Linked DNA regions of Elephas maximus indicus. The protein of the gene in region 1 interacts with the protein of each later gene in a biochemical or structural test. Links are inferred from orthologs where the notes say so. Each region holds a gene or a part of one and is shown on either strand. Other genes may lie near its edges.

Region 1 (8,245 bases):
ATTTGAACTCACATTCTTAACCAAAGTTAAGAATCCTAAGGGCACCAAATTGTGAGTTGGAAGGCTTGATCATAGATCCTAACTATGACAAATTATAGAATTATGAATCTTGGGGTAGAAAGAGTCCCCTAATAATTAATGGTTAAGCAGTTTTTACATAATGTCTTTAACTTTTCCCAGATTCTGGCTGAAAAGCACGAGGACAAGATAGCACCTAAGTAAGCACAATCTTATTTAGGGATATTCGTCATTACGTGCAAAAAATTAAAATAATAATACAGAATTTGTACTTTCTGATGTGAAGCATCAACAAGTGAATTTTAGGGTTACAAGTAATTACAGTTCTCAGACAATATAAAAAATGGCATCAAAATTTATGTTTTATTATGAAGATAAAATGAAATCTTATCAAAGTTATTTTTTAAATTTTAAAAAGAAATTAGCTTGGAATCTGACAAATTCATAAAGGATCACTCACCATTTATTAGCTCAAAAGAGTCTCCCCCAAAGCTTTGTGACTCTATAGTATTCATTTACTTAATAAATTTTTATCTCAAATACCTACTACATGAAATAAACTCTAGTAGGCATTCATGATAATCGAGAACATGATAAAACACAAAGAGATTCTCAATAAGGCCCTTACATCTTGATATTGCTGTCTTCCTTGAATGATGTCATGCCTACATTATAAGCATATACTTGGCTAAATTTCAGTGAACAAGAAATATGACAAAAATCTAAAGGTTCACGTAGGGGCAGTATGTAACATGTGAAACTAACATGGGCTTTGGAGTCAGACAGACTTTAAGTTTGCATCCCAAACTAGCTATGGAAATTGAGCACCTTAATTTCTCTAAGTTTGTTGTTGTTGTGTGCCATGGAGTCAGTTCCAACACAGAAACCCTATAGGACAGAGCAGAACTGCCCCATAGGGCTTCCAGGGAGCAGCTGGTGGATTCGAACTGCCGACCTTTTGGTTAGCTGCCTGAGCTCTTAACCACTTTGCCACCAGGGCTCCCCAAGTCTATTTATTCATCAACAAATGGAAATATTTTTTTATCTTATAGAGGTCTTGATATAATAAAGTTTCTAGCATAGCAGACAGCATGAGGAAGCACTCAACAAATGCTGATTCTCTTTCACACCAAAAAAATACCAAACCCACTGCCATCGAGTAGATTGCCACTCATAGCAACCCTATAGAACACTGAAAAGTTATTTTAGAGTTAGAAAACCCATTAGGCTTCATCCATTCTGATTCTCTATTTCTACTCTGAGGTAGCAGCAGCAGAGTGATCTGTCCAAGATTACACAAATAGTGTGCGGGCTGGGCCAAGACTCACTGTCCAGTGCTCTTTTCCACTATATAACCTGACTTTAATATTTAGGAAACAAAATCTACAAATGACATAATTCAGATCACTACATATGTATACTAAGAAAATTTTAAAAATTAAGCTGAACATTAAATTAGGCTTAATTTAATGCTCAACTTAATTACTTAATACAATGCTAAAACTCTTTAATAATAAATTCATGCTTCAATAAACAGTCAAAGACTTTATCTAAGGTGTTTCAAAAAGTTTGTCAAGTAAAAACCAGAACGTTAAACAGATTTTATCTCAAAATAATCAAGGTAAAAATCAGTGCTCTTTACATTAGAATATGATAGCTCTAACAAGGTATTTTACCGAGTTAAGTAAAATTATGTTCAGACACCTCTGAAAAGGAAACCATGCTTTAAAACGCCCTTCTTAGCTCCCAAATGTGCCCTGGTGGAGCACTTGGGCTGTATATTTTATATGGTATTCTAAATATACATTGAAGTTACCAGTGAAATTATCTTACTGGTAAAAGAGGTACCAACAGAGTGGAGGGGTAGGTTTAAGGGGATATTTCCCTTTTAAAGAGTCTCCTTTGCATGAACCGTATGGATTATGTATGAAATCACTACAGAGTGAGAGAATAGTGTTTTACCTTTTAATCTCGTATTAGTCCAAATGTTCTAACTAAAGGGCAGAACCACACAGGAGCATTATTTCCCAGTTTTTAACTTTAGTCTTTGAAGAATGTCCTTAGAACAAAAAGAGACTCATTCAAAGTTTTTACAAATTCCACCAGAGTTCAAAAATGGTTTTCTTGAGGTGTCATGCAATTTTTATGAACCACTGAAAACTATGATAAATGAAAAGGGTGGGTGATAGTTTTACTTTGATCTGAAGCGCTACTATTTTTAAGAGTTGATGGTCCGGCCAGTCCAGTGACTACCCCTGGAGCCTTTAAGCTGGCTCTGCTTTGCCAATCTGGACACCGAATAGCCTATGATCATCTCCTTAGTCCAACAGTACTAACAAGAGAGTACCTGAAGCCTTGGAATGAAGGCAAAGCAAAGAATCAACCAGCCTTGTGATCAAATGGAAATAAACTAAATGACCCGGGTCCACCATCCTCACATACACCAAAACCCCTTCCCCTACACACACATCTCCCACCAACCCCTGCTTCCTCCACATTCCTGTATCAAACACACTTCCCCGCTACAACTTCCCTTCCTACGGCCACCCACGGGTGACCTTCGCAGACCATCCTTGCCCCAACCCCAACTTCTCACCCACACTCCCTTCACCACGGAAGACTCACCGCTAGTCTTCCTACTCTACATCTTCCCACACACTCGCCCTCCCCACTTCCTCGCCCTCGCTTCCCTCCCAGCTCTCCCAGAGCTTTCCCCAACCTCCCCTCGCTCTACTCCACGCCCCCAAACACCTTCACCCCGCCACAGAAGGCTCCCCGCCTCCAGTTCCGAGGCCCGGCCCAGGCGTGTGGGGCAGGCACCTCCTCTACCGCCCCTCAAGCCTGCCCCGAGCCGGATGGATGGGAGCCTCCGGGAGAGGGGTCTGAAGAGGACGACGCCGGACCAGCGGTCCCTCTACTGCTCCCCACCCCAGGAGAGCTGGGGTGCGGAGTCGCCCCTTGGGTCCCTCAGGGAGTAGGGGTCCAGGCCGGAGTCCCCCAGCCCCGCTTCCTCCCGATCGTTGGAGCGGAGGGGAAGGAGGTTCCCCGGGACTCACCTCGAGCCTGTTGTCAACATTAGCCCCGGGTTTCCCAGCACCAACTCCAGCGCTCGGGCTCTCCCCTCCCCTCCCCCCACCTATCTCGCACCCGAGGACCCGCCTTCCCTCAGCTCCCCCTCCTCCCTCCGCCCGACGGCCCTCCCGCCCGCCACTCACCAGCGCGGCCGAGCTGCGGGTGGGGGCGGGGCGGAGGGAGGCCGAAAGGAAGAGGCTGTCTGAGCGATTGCCAGATTGCAAAACAGTCCGAATCCCCCATCCCTCGGCATGCCAATGCCCTCAGGTTGGCTCTGCGGTGGCTGTTCCAGAGCAACGGCTCATGTAAGTGTGAGCCACTTAACGGCTGGTTCAAGGAGGAGCGAATTTTTCAGACAGGCAGCCAATGGGGCAGCCACTACTAACACCTCAGGCCAGGGCCCCGACAGCGGGGAGGAGTGTTCTGAGTACCGGAGGCAGGAAGTGGATTGGTCACTAGGAAAGGGAAAGCGCCCGAACTGGAGGTGCGCAGGCGCAGACACTGGAGGGAGGGGAACGAGAATGGGGTGGGGCGGAGCTAGCAGGAGGTAAGAAGGGGCGGGGGGGGGAATTACGGAGCGCCGTTAAGGACAAGGTTGGCCATGTGACTGTTACAGGAGTTTCTAGATGCGAACGTAAGGAAGAGGTCTAAGAAGGGAAAGTTTGATTGGACTAATTTGAGGGAGGTTGAAAATTTAGGAAATTGGAAAGTGGGGAGGCTATAGAATATGGCTGGAAAGGAAGGTGATTAGGGATGGGTCTAGATTTAAGAATGCCTTAGTAAGACTACAAAAGTTCCGTGGGGGAATTTCCAGAGCAGTTTTAGGTGTTCGGTATAAATATATCCCAGAGTGAAGAGTCAAGACTTTTCCCATACGGCTTAGAAAGTGCCCGGTACTAGCAAGCAAATTTTAAAATTACAATGAAATGTTCTTGAATTACTGCGCAAAATCTCCCTTAAAAAAAAAAATCGGCAGCTCCCATGTTTCCTCCAAATATAAACTCGGGTCGAGTTTTCAAATGGGTATCAGAGTATCCACACACTATTTAGTTCCCCTTAAATTCCTGAAGTTGGTGCCTCAAAACAGTGCTAGAGAGGCTCTGCCAACATGATCATGAGCCAAAGGAACATGGTCATGAGCCAAAGGAACAAAGGTGTAAAGCTGGTCTTGTTCATTGCTTGACCTGCAGCGCCCTACCAGGTATCCAAGCCTACGGCATTAGCTGCTATCCACCTCCAACACTGGAGGCAGGTATTTATTGTTGTTAGGTGCCGTTGAGTCAATTCGGACTCACAGCGACCCTATGCACAACAGAACGAAACACTGCCGGGTCCTGAGCCATCCTTAGGATCGTTGTTATGCTTGAGCCCATTGTTGCAGCCACTGGGAGTGTCGTCTTCTTTTCCGCTGACCCTGTACTTTGCCAAGCATGATGATGTCTTTCTCCAGAGACTGATCCCTCCTGACAACATGTCCAAAATATGTAAGACGCAGTCTCACCATCCTTGATTCTAAGGAGCATTCTGGTTGTACTTCCAAGACAGATTTGTTTGTTCTTTTGGCGTGGTATATTCAATATTCTTCACCAACACCACAATTCAAAGGCATCAACAAGCAGGTCTGGGTTCCCTTTAATTAGCTTTTGCTTATTTGCTTCTATTTACTGTTTTGTCTTCCCGTTGTTAGCACACAAATTCCCTTACCAAACTGAATAATTGGTGCCTCTCTCTCTCTCGTATTAAAAAAAAAAAAAAAAAATTTTTCCAAAACACCAAATAGGTCAATCATTTAAAAGGTAGTAGTTGTGTGCTGCGACCATTCAAACTCATAACCCAACTCAACCCATTGCCCTGGAGTTGATTTCCAACTCATAGCGACACTATAGGACAGTATAGGGTTTCCAAGGAGCCGCTAAAAACCCAGCCACTAGTGGATGCAAATTGCTGACCTTTTAGTTAGTAGCCAAGCTGTTTAACCACTGCACCACAAGGGCTCCTCCCAGGGTCCTTAAACAGTAGTAAAGAGACAAATAATTGCTCTCAAAGTACTATGCTTGCCATAAATAGCCACCCACATTTCTCTTCCAAGTTTCCTTTTTCTTAATTTGCCTGAATACTTTAAGAAGACTTGCCTCTGCTGTTGATACATAAATCCTTCTCGCCCCATTCAAATCACATCAGCCTTTGCATTTCATCAGGTTGTTAAAAGGAAATCATGTGAATACAGGTGTTAAGCAATTCCCAAGCCTGTACAATGGTCCAAGACTTTTGTGCATCTTATCATTAAATATACCCCTGCAAACCAACCTCATTAATCTCAAAAATCCCCCTCCTTGTTTCCCAAGGACCTTGCTCACTTTAAGGTAACAAATGGTAGGTGTTTAACCTAAAAGGTTTTTTTCCCCAAGACCTGAATCTCTAAGATTTTGTGTATTTCATGCAACATGTTCTTTTGCACCACTGTATATCCTTCAAAGAACCAACTGTGCATTGTAAATTGGATATAAGCAAAAAACTGCTTTGCAATAGCCACAGCAGTTTTAGAACTCACTGCCTATTTGCAGACATCTCTCTTTCTCTCTAATAGTTGATCTCTTCAATTGTCAAAATCTCACCGTTTTTAACACAGAGATCGGAAGAGAGGAAAGCAAACAAAAAACCAAAGCCATTGCCTCAAGTCGATTCTGACTCATTGCGATCCTATAGAACACAGTAGAGCTGCCCCCATACGGTTTCCAAGCCACAGCTGGTGGGTTCAAACTGCCAGCCTTTTGGTTAGCAGCTGTAGCTCTTTGTCACTACACCACCAGGGCTCCAGAAGAAAGGAGGAGGGCATTTTTATTGAGCATTTGCTGTTTTTGTTGTTGTTGTTAGGTGCCATGGAGTTGGTTCCGACTCAGCGACCCTGTGCACAACAGAACGAAACACCGCCTGGTCATGCACCATCCTTAAATTATTATGCTTGAACTCATTGTTGGAGACACTGTGTCAATCCATCTTATTGAGGGTCTTCCTCTTTTCTGCTAACCCTGTACTTTGCCAAGCATGATGTCCTCCAGGGACTGATCCCTCCTGACAGCATGTCCAAAGTATATAAGATGCAGTCTCGCCATCCTTGCTTCTTAGGAGCGTTCTGGTTGTACTTCTTCCAAGACAGATTTGTTCATTCTTTTGGCAGTCCATGGTATATTCAATATTCTTCACCAATACCATAATTCAAAAGGCGTCAATTTTTAAAATAGCATTTGCTAGTTTAATTAATAATCATGAAAATCTTGTAGGTATTATGATCTCCATTTTGTAGATAAGGAAACTGAGTCAGAAAAGTTACCCAAAGTCACTAGTAGCCATAGTATCTAGTATTCAACTCAAATCTAATTCCAAAAGCCAAGCTCTTTTCACTATATCCTGCTACACTTATGTAAGCTTTTACATAGACTGAAAATGCTGCTGATCATTTTTATCAAGCTTGCCACCAAAAGCCTTCTGATGTGGGGACATCACTGACATCGCTAACTGAAGAGACATGCCACTCTAAAGAGGTCATCATTTTTGCATTCTAATAATTCAAACCACTATTTTCTGAAAATATATTGTACTAAGCATTTAACTGGTTATGTAGATACTTCATTATTTGAGAAAATTCTCAAAAATATCCAGTATCCTCCTTTTTGCTTGCTCCAATTGACAGAACTGACATAACTACCATATGGATTTAAAAAACAAAACAAAAACAACAACAACAAAAAAAACTTGCTATTTATATTGCTGTTTATATAAACTTACACTATTTTCTACTTAAAACCTAGCCACAATGTTGCTGCTTCACAGAAGAAATCAAAGTCAGAGGACAGAGATTACAATTACAGGGCAAAGCAAAGCCTGACTTAAAAAAAACAGGCATCAGGTGAGGCTTACCAGCTCTAACTACAGCCTATACCCACTGACCTCAGGCCAATATAATACAATGATGTGGACTGCCTGCAGATGTGTGCCAGACCTTGAACAAATTCAACTTCTGCCTTTTAGGAGCTGAAGTTTAGTTTAAAAGCCCTTTCATGACTGAATTATTTTTTATACATGTCCCCTTCAGACAGCAGGATGTATTATAAATTGGGCACTAGCATCCCAAGAACCATAGAGGCAAAGAATTTAAGTGGGACTTGGATTTCCTAGCAATCAGACATGAGCACATACTATAAGTGGGGCACTAGCAGCCCAAGAAACCTGAGAAGTCAAAAATTTTAACTGCCACCCCAAGTTTCCTGTCTAATCTTTCGAATTGCTGTTGTCAATTTCATTCCATATAGATAGATTTTAAAAGAGCACAATACTCAAGGCAAACATTCTTTACTAGTTAAGCTAAACTATTGCTTGGTTTTCAGAAAACTTCAGGGGATATTTTTAGTTTGAGGTTTAAGGTTTAAAGATGATCTCAGGGCAATAGTTTTAGGGGTTCAGCCAACCTCTCTGACTCCATAAAGTCTGGATCCCATGATAATTGGAAATTCTGTTCTACATTTTCCCCCTTTTGATCAGGATTCTATAGAATTTTTTTTATCAAACTGGTCAGTAATGGCAGCTAGGCACCATTCAGTTTTTCTGGTCTCATGGCAAAGAAGGCAGTTGTTCATGTAAACAATTAGCAACCCATTCCGTTTACTCCTATTCCTGATGTGTTTTTTAAGTGAGATATATAGTGTTTTTATACTCAGAGGGCAAGGAGATATTAATGATAGCAGGGAAAGACAAAAAAGATAGCCGTAGGAGAAAATCCTCGTGGTGGTAGGAAGGACAGAATCTAGAAGTACAAGTGGAAAACTACAAAAAAGAAAAGTATGTGGAAAAATATACCATGCTCATGGTTAGGAACATTCAACATTGTGAAAGTGTCAATACTACCTGTCTTTGGCTGGGTTCTCTAGAGAAGCAAAAGTAGTAAATCATATAAATATATAGGTAGAGAGAGATTTATATCAAGGAAATGGCTCATGTGTTTGTAGAGGCTGGAACGTTCCAAGTCTGTGGATCAGTATACAGGCTTTTCCTGATTCACGTAGCTGCAGGGGCTAGCAAACCCAAGACCAGCAGGTCGGAGAGCAGGGCTCTTGCTCACAGGCTGTGAAGATCAGCACATCTGAAGATAGGCAGGGAA
Region 2 (7,321 bases), on another chromosome or scaffold:
CAGCCTCTTGAAATCACTGCCATCTACCAGTTAGATACGGGTTACCATGTAAAGTGTAGCCTTTTATGACAGTCATGTACCCAGAACCACAGTCATTCCAAAATTCCTGCTCTGTTTTGGCTGCAAAGTTTTGTGCATACACATAAAGCAAAACATTTTAACAGGTTGGGTAATGTGTAAGAAGCTAGACTTCTTTGTAATACGCTTATTTTCTCACGTAAAATCATAAGCTTCTAAGTGTATTTTGTTCACTCTATCTTGAAATTTGTATTATGAGATCTTATTTAAAGAATAATTTTATCTGACAAACCTGAATTCTAAAATTCTGTAATTTTTATGAAACCATTTATCAGAACATTATTTGTGAATAATAACAAAGTGAAAAATCAGAGTTTTAAAACATGGACAGTGGTAGCTCTTGGGAAAAAATATTTGGGCATTTTGCTAGCCAGATTTACAAGAAATACACATTCTTACTATTTGGAAAAAGAAATGAGATTTGATTTTTAAAACAACTTTATCAGGATTTAATTCACATACCATACAATTCACTCATTTAAAGTTTACAGTCCAGTGGTTTTTAATATATGCAGAGTTGTGTAACCTTCACCATGTTAATTTCAAAACACTTTCATCACCCCAAAAAAGAAACCTTGTACCGATGAGCAGTCCTCCCTGTCCCCTCCCTCACAGTCGTAGGCAACCACCAGTTTACTTTCTGTATCTAGTGATTTGCCTATTATGGACATTTCATGTAGAGGGCATCATACCATAAGTGGCCTTTTATGACTGGCTTCTTTCACCTAGCATAATATTTTCAAAGTTCAAGGTAGCGTTGTAAAGTGTATCAGTACTTTATTCTTTTTAATGGCTGAATACTATTCCACTTTGTTTTGTTTCCCAAAGCAGCTGCACCATTCTGTGTTCCCACTAGCAGTATATGAGGATTCCAATTTCTCCACATATTCACCAACACTCATTATTTGTCTTTTTTTGATTCTAGCCATTCGAGTGGGTGTGAAGTGGCATCTCATTGTAGTTTTAATTTGCGTTTCTCTGATGACTAATAAGGTTGATTCATGTGCTTATTGACCATTTGTGTATCTTCTTTGGAGAAATGTCTATTCAGATCTTTTTCACATTTTTTAACTGAGTTGTCTTTTTACTATTGACTTTTAATAGCTCTTTATATATTCTCGTAAGTTTCTTGTCAGATGCATGATTTGCAAACGTTTTCTCCCATTCCGTGGGTTGTCTTTTCATTTTCTTGGTGATGTCCTTATAAGCAAAAAAGTTTTTAATTTGATAAAGTCCAACTTATTTGTTGTCATTGTGCATTTGGTGTCGTATCTAAGAAACAGTTGCCTTATCCAAGCTCATGAAGATGTACTCCCACGTTTTCTTCTGTTTTATGATTTTAACTCTTACATTTAAATCTGTGATCCATTGTGTGTGTGTGTGTGTGTGTGTGGTGTGAGGTAGGGATCCAACTTCATTCTTTTATATTTGGAGATCTAGCTATCCCAGCCCCACCTGTTGGAAAGACTGTTCCTCTCCATTAAATTGTCTCGGCACACTTATCAAAATCAATTGACCATAAATGTAAGGGTTTTCTTCTAGACTCTCAATTCCATTCAGTATACAGGGAGTATACTGTAGATATTTTGAAGGAGAAAAAATAAATGGGCCAAGTCATGTGAAAAAGACAAAGAAATATGATACTTGTTCTGCAAGAGCTTATGTTTTGTATGTTTCAGCAAACGTGGGTACCTGTTAGGTGCCAGATACAGACCTGGGCTGGGGAGGAATAAATGAATAAATTCATAGTTTCTGTTTTCAGTGAAGTCCCAGTTCTGAGTGGAAACTGCACAGAAAGTACCTCAACCCTTATTGTACAATGTAGTAAATAGAGAAAGGGAGGTATGCTCAAGGTTCTGTGGAAGCTCAAATGAAGGGCCCTCACCTTGACTGGGATTCTGTTGGTCTGAGAGAACGTAAGAAAGGTGGACAGAACATTCTAAGCAGAGGGCATAGCATAAGTCCTGACTATAGTGGTGGTGGGAGACAAAATATGAACACAAGAAATATAAGACATTGCATATGCTTTGACCTAATGACAAGTGGGAATGAGTTCTTTCCTCCACTTGACAATTTTTGTGAGTTTTAGCTCAGTAATAAAGGAATTCCTCTGAAGCAAAAGTGCTTCAGTAAGATTATTTTATAGACAGGAGGTGTGAGGTTCAGAATCCATTTTATTATCCCAATTTGGAAACATGACTAAAAAACTAAAATCCTGAGTTTGGTGATAGTTTAATCTGAAAAATATTTAAAAAGAGGGAAGACCTGCAAATAGAGAGTAGTTTTAAAAACATATATTCAAAATATATGTTCTGTATTTAAAGACTGCTGACACATCCCAAATTTAAAAAGTTTCCTTTTTTTTTTTTTTTGCCATCAGCAACCCTCTTTAATTATTCTGCTCCTACTTCCCACTCACACTATAAAAGATTTTGTCTGGCAATCACATTTTCCCACTTTTTATCAAAGATAACACACTGTCAGAGCTTTTGATCCACATAGCTTTATCATATACTAAATTGATTTGAGACAAAAGGAAAAAAGCTGTTGGCCTAGCCTGTGCCACCGTATCATAGGTGCATTTCTAATAGTATTCCTTTAGGTTTTATGGATTACTGAAAAGAGCTCCTGGCCACCTTTGTGGGGTTTTAGAGAACTCAGGTTTGGAACCACTTTATGAGCCTTTTGGCCGATTTAAAATATCACCTATCAAATGTGGTCACAGATAGTGGCTAAAACACTGGATTGAGCTAAGAAACCTGGATTTACTTCCGGTTGACTGCCAGTGACTCCTGTAAATCTCTTAATCTGTCAATCTCTCAGTGCTTCAGCTGCTCCATTCTCTAGTCGTTTGTGTGTGTCCTTGAAACTCTTGAAAGAAATGTGTTATAAGTTAAAAAACACGAGAAAATAGCAAAAAAAAAAATGGAATTTCAAGATAACTTCCAAATGATGCTAATCAAAAGTGTTACTGGCTGCTTGTTTGTTAAAAAGTAAATGTGAACCCAGTTTTAATGTCCCATTAGTTGGAAGCCTTAAAGAGCTGAATAAAAATTATACTGGAAAACCTTAAGGCCCAGTATTTCTGGAAGCATTTATTTTATCCCGTATAAGAAAGCCATGTACCAACTTGCGTCAGCCACTGGACCCTTTTTTTTTTTTTTTTAACTGTAATTGCTGTTCTTTAATAAAATGTTCAAATATCTTTGGAAAAGAAGAAAACTGTAAATATTCAGCACACGTATTTCTCAGGAATGTTTCGCCCAACAGCCTTCTATGTTTAGCCTTCTATTTGGGGAACTGAGATTCAGCAATGCAGACCCAATTTTATGAGCTCCTGCTTACGCCAAAAACTCTCTGGTTCTGAATTTCTGTGGAGCTGTGCCTGTCACCTGACCAGCTGAACCGTTTAGTGGCCAAGAAGCTAAAAAGAGGAGATGCCATTATTCCCTTCTTCCTTCTAGTTTCCCGGCTTCTTGCATGCGGAAAGCGGGTGCAATCCCAGCCACCGCCACGCCATCTCTGTAAACCAGTGTTTCTCCAAGTGCCCCGCACGCAGGACCACTGTCAGGGCACACTGGGGGTGCTAGCTGAAAGCGAGGGCTCCAGGGCCACACCTGAACCCACTGTGTCAACCTCTGGTACCTGGCCCCAGAGTCTCGCCCCGGCCTCGCCGCACACCCCTGTCCCTCCCTCGGTTCCCCTGCCCCGGGGTGGGCGTGCTCCCGGGCCTGGGGACGGACGTGCAAAGCCGTGGGAAGGGGCAGAGGCGAGAGGGGCGCGGGCGACCGAGAAAACGTGGCATTCTCGCGAGGTTTCGGCCGAACTCTCGGGGTCGGGGGAGGCGGGGAGGCGGCTGCCCCGAAGCGGCTGCGAGATGCGCTCGGAGAGGGAGGCGGCTGGTGGCGCCGGGGCCACCGGGGCTGCAGTGGCAGCTCGAGGCTCGAGTGGGAGGGAGAAGCCGTCAGCGCTCACTCCCCGCGGGGGGCCGGCCATGGAGGTCCAGTTCCGCTGGGAGTCGCCGCGGCGAGAGCCCGAAATGCCGTCTGCCTCCGCCTCCAGCTGTAGGGGTGGTGGGGGCGGGGCGGGCAAACCTCGCGAGGAGAAGAGGACGGTTCTGAGCAAGGTCCGGGAAGGGGGCGGGGCGAGGACGGGGGAAGGGGAGGGGCGGGGCGAGGGCGGGGCGGGGCGGTGAGGGGGCGGGGTGAGGACTACGGAGGGGCGGAGCACCTTCAGGACCCCGGAGAGCGCCCGGGCAGGTCTCTGATAAGCGACTGACAAGAGTTGGGGAAAGGGATGCTGAGGGAGACAAAGTTTCCTGCACTTTCTGACTTGGTCTTTTCCGACTCAGAGGAAGAAGAGCCATTTAAGTGAATATATTAAAAAAAAAAAAAAAAAGCCGTTTGCCGTGGAGTCGATTCCGACTCATAGAGATCCTATAGGACAGAGTAGAACTGCCCCATAGGGTTTGGCTGGTGGATTCAAACTGTTGATCTTTTGGTCAGCAGCCGAGCATTTAACCGCTGCCCCATATTTTTCAGATGGATTTAGAATCCTTGGCTTACCACCATCAGACAGCGTGTTCAAAGCAAGAAATTTCACTCCTTCTACCCCTTCTTCCTTCCCACCCCGTACTATTTCCGGTTCCAAACCGACATTATTACTAATGACCACCCCTCTAGATAGGATTTAAAGACGCCTCAAAATCTGAAACATGAGACTGCTGAGAAGCCCCCAAACGGGTCACACGAAGGTAGACGATTACTTAGTTGGCAGAGTCACATTCAGAAGGCTGGTACATACCGATCTAATCAAATAAAGATTTCCAGAGAGGAACTGGAAATGGCCACTGCAGAAAAGGATTACCAGATAACCCTGATATTACTAGCATAAGAGACAGAGAGGAATGAACGAACACTGGAGAAAGAACTGCCAGTAATACGTATCAGAGAGGTGAAAGTGCCCACCACAGGCAGCCAAAGTGCTGCAGGTCGTGAAGCTGGCCAAGAACTCCTACTGGCAACAAGAACAAATACACTTTACTTTTTATTGCTTGCATTTCTCTGAATGTGTTTTCCCTTCTAATACTAATTAAGGTAGAGTGTGGAGAAGATTTCATTTTTCAGTGCTGGCACAAACAGTACATATCATATGCCAGCAGTTTTCTCGATGTAGTAATAAAATGCTTACATGAAAAAGAGCTGTGTTATACACAGCCTTTTCTGACCTCACTGATAACTTTTAAATTACTCAGCCATCTGTACCCTTTGACCACCATGTTCTCTGTGCATGTATGTCTTAACCTTTTTTCTGTGTGTGTTTCTGTTGGACTCCTGGTTTAGATTTTCCTCTGTGCATAAATATAGGGGATCAAGCATTCCAACAATTGACACTTAATAAAACCCATTAATAGTGAAAACAAAATCCAGTCAGCGTCGGTTTTACCTTGGTGCTCCTCAGGTCGTCATACAGTTTTACCTTGGTGCTCCTCAGGTTGTCATACAGTTTTATCTTGGTGCTCCTCAGGTTGTCATATGGTTTTACCTTGGTGCTCTTCAGGTTGTCATACGGTTTTACCTTGGTGCTTCTCAGGTTGTCATACAGTTTTACCTTGGTGCTCCTCAGGTTGTCATACGGTTTTACCTTGGTGCTCCTCAGGTTGTCATACGGTTTTACCTTGGTGCTCCTCAGGTTGTCATACGGTTTTATCTTGGTGCTCCTCAGGTTGTCATACGGCGGCTTCCTCCCAGTCTCACCAAGGAGCAGCTGGACGAGCAGCTACATCCGCTTCCTGCACACGACTATTTTGAGTTCTGTACTGCCAATCTTAGGTGAGGAGACACGTTAAGCTTCAACATTAAACAGCTGAGAGGTGTTGTCAGTTGATGGGCAGTTGTTATAGATAAGGGAAGGCATCCTTTTTTCCATATTCTCTACCAAATGTCCGCAGAAATCGGTACCGTTCTTTATTTTTGCAGCTCACTTCTAAGTAGGCAGATTACTAAAAAAAAAAAAAAATTTTCCCCTAAAATAGAATTTTGGAATATACTTCTACTGTCACCACCAGAGTATAAAAGGAAAAACAGATTTACACCATTATTACTTAGCTTTTGAACCTTGTTTCCTGTAGCTTGTTAAAGTAAATTATGTTGAGATATCACAAAATAAATGAGTATGTTATAAATGTGTAACCTGGGGAATTTTCACAAGTGAACAAGCTTATGTAAGTAGGTGTCAGTTACATAAAGAAGCCAAATATTTCCAGGACCCCAAAAGCCCCTTGTGCTCGGTTCTATCACTAACAGCCTCCCCTGCCAATTGTATCTTTTTCAGCACTCTTTTACAGTTTGATAATAGGATGACTAGCCTCACTTTAACACTTACTAATCTCCTTCTTAAAAGAGAGGCGACCTCAGCTCAGACCTTTAACAGACAACAGGGCAGCTAGAATTTTGTGATTTTTCACTATATTATTGTCTTCGTTATCATGATTTCCCATTTATGGTAGTCATGTAAACTTTCCTTTTGAATAAATGCACGCATTTAAGTTAAAAAAAAAAAAAGATCCATTCAGAGAAAAATATTACTAACAGGCAAACATAGATGTAGTGAAAAACAAAGGTGGTTTTCAAATGACTGAAGTTGAGGAAAATACTGGTATGTTAAAAGAGAACAAGCCTGGGAACTAGAATGATCTAGACTGGAACCCCAGTCCCACCTTTTAACTAACCATACCCTCTAAACCCCAAAAAAAACCACTGCCGTCAAATTGATTCTGACTTCTAATGATCCCATAGGACAGAGCAGAACCGCCCCATAGTGTTTCTAAGGAGCAGCTGGTGGATTGGAACCTTTTGGTTAGCAGCTGAGCTCTTAACCGCTGCACCACCAGGGCTGCACCGTACGCTTGACAAGCACCTGATTTCTCTGAGCTTCAGTGTTCTCATCTGTAATATGGATCGAAAGCACCTTTCTGTGAAGGAAACTGGGTTGCTGTGGGACAGAGGAAAAAGCTTAATTCTTCCAGTAGACCCCACTGAGCCTTTTGAATTCTGTACCATGTGCTACAATAAATACTCCTAAAATATCTAAAAGTGTTCTCTAAATAGTAAAGAATCCCTTTTACGATATAAATAAATCATGATTAGAGTTCTATGCCAGTTGTGACTCATAATGTAGGAATAACATTTTCTTTGGTGTTTTAACCTCTGAAGACCAGTATTTTAATCCTGGCTTTGTGCAA

Evidence for each region. The genes of interacting proteins can lie anywhere in the genome.
Region 2: the proteins of UPF2 (region 1) and UPF3A form a complex in vitro, tested with the Homo sapiens proteins (2 studies listed by IntAct, with this or other methods). The link is inferred for Elephas maximus indicus from reciprocal best matches to the Homo sapiens genes UPF2 and UPF3A.

What each region holds. Positions count from the first base shown.
Region 1 is NC_064822.1:45,340,825-45,349,069, reverse strand, and holds the start of UPF2 (regulator of nonsense transcripts 2), read right to left. Parts: upstream 3,150-8,245; 5' UTR 3,075-3,149; intron 1-3,074. UniProt on the Homo sapiens protein: Involved in nonsense-mediated decay (NMD) of mRNAs containing premature stop codons by associating with the nuclear exon junction complex (EJC).
Region 2 is NC_064835.1:75,690,251-75,697,571, forward strand, and holds the start of UPF3A (regulator of nonsense transcripts 3A), read left to right. Parts: upstream 1-3,904; 5' UTR 3,905-3,955; coding exon 3,956-4,204; intron 4,205-5,802; coding exon 5,803-5,909; intron 5,910-7,321. UniProt on the Homo sapiens protein: Involved in nonsense-mediated decay (NMD) of mRNAs containing premature stop codons by associating with the nuclear exon junction complex (EJC) and serving as link between the EJC core and NMD machinery.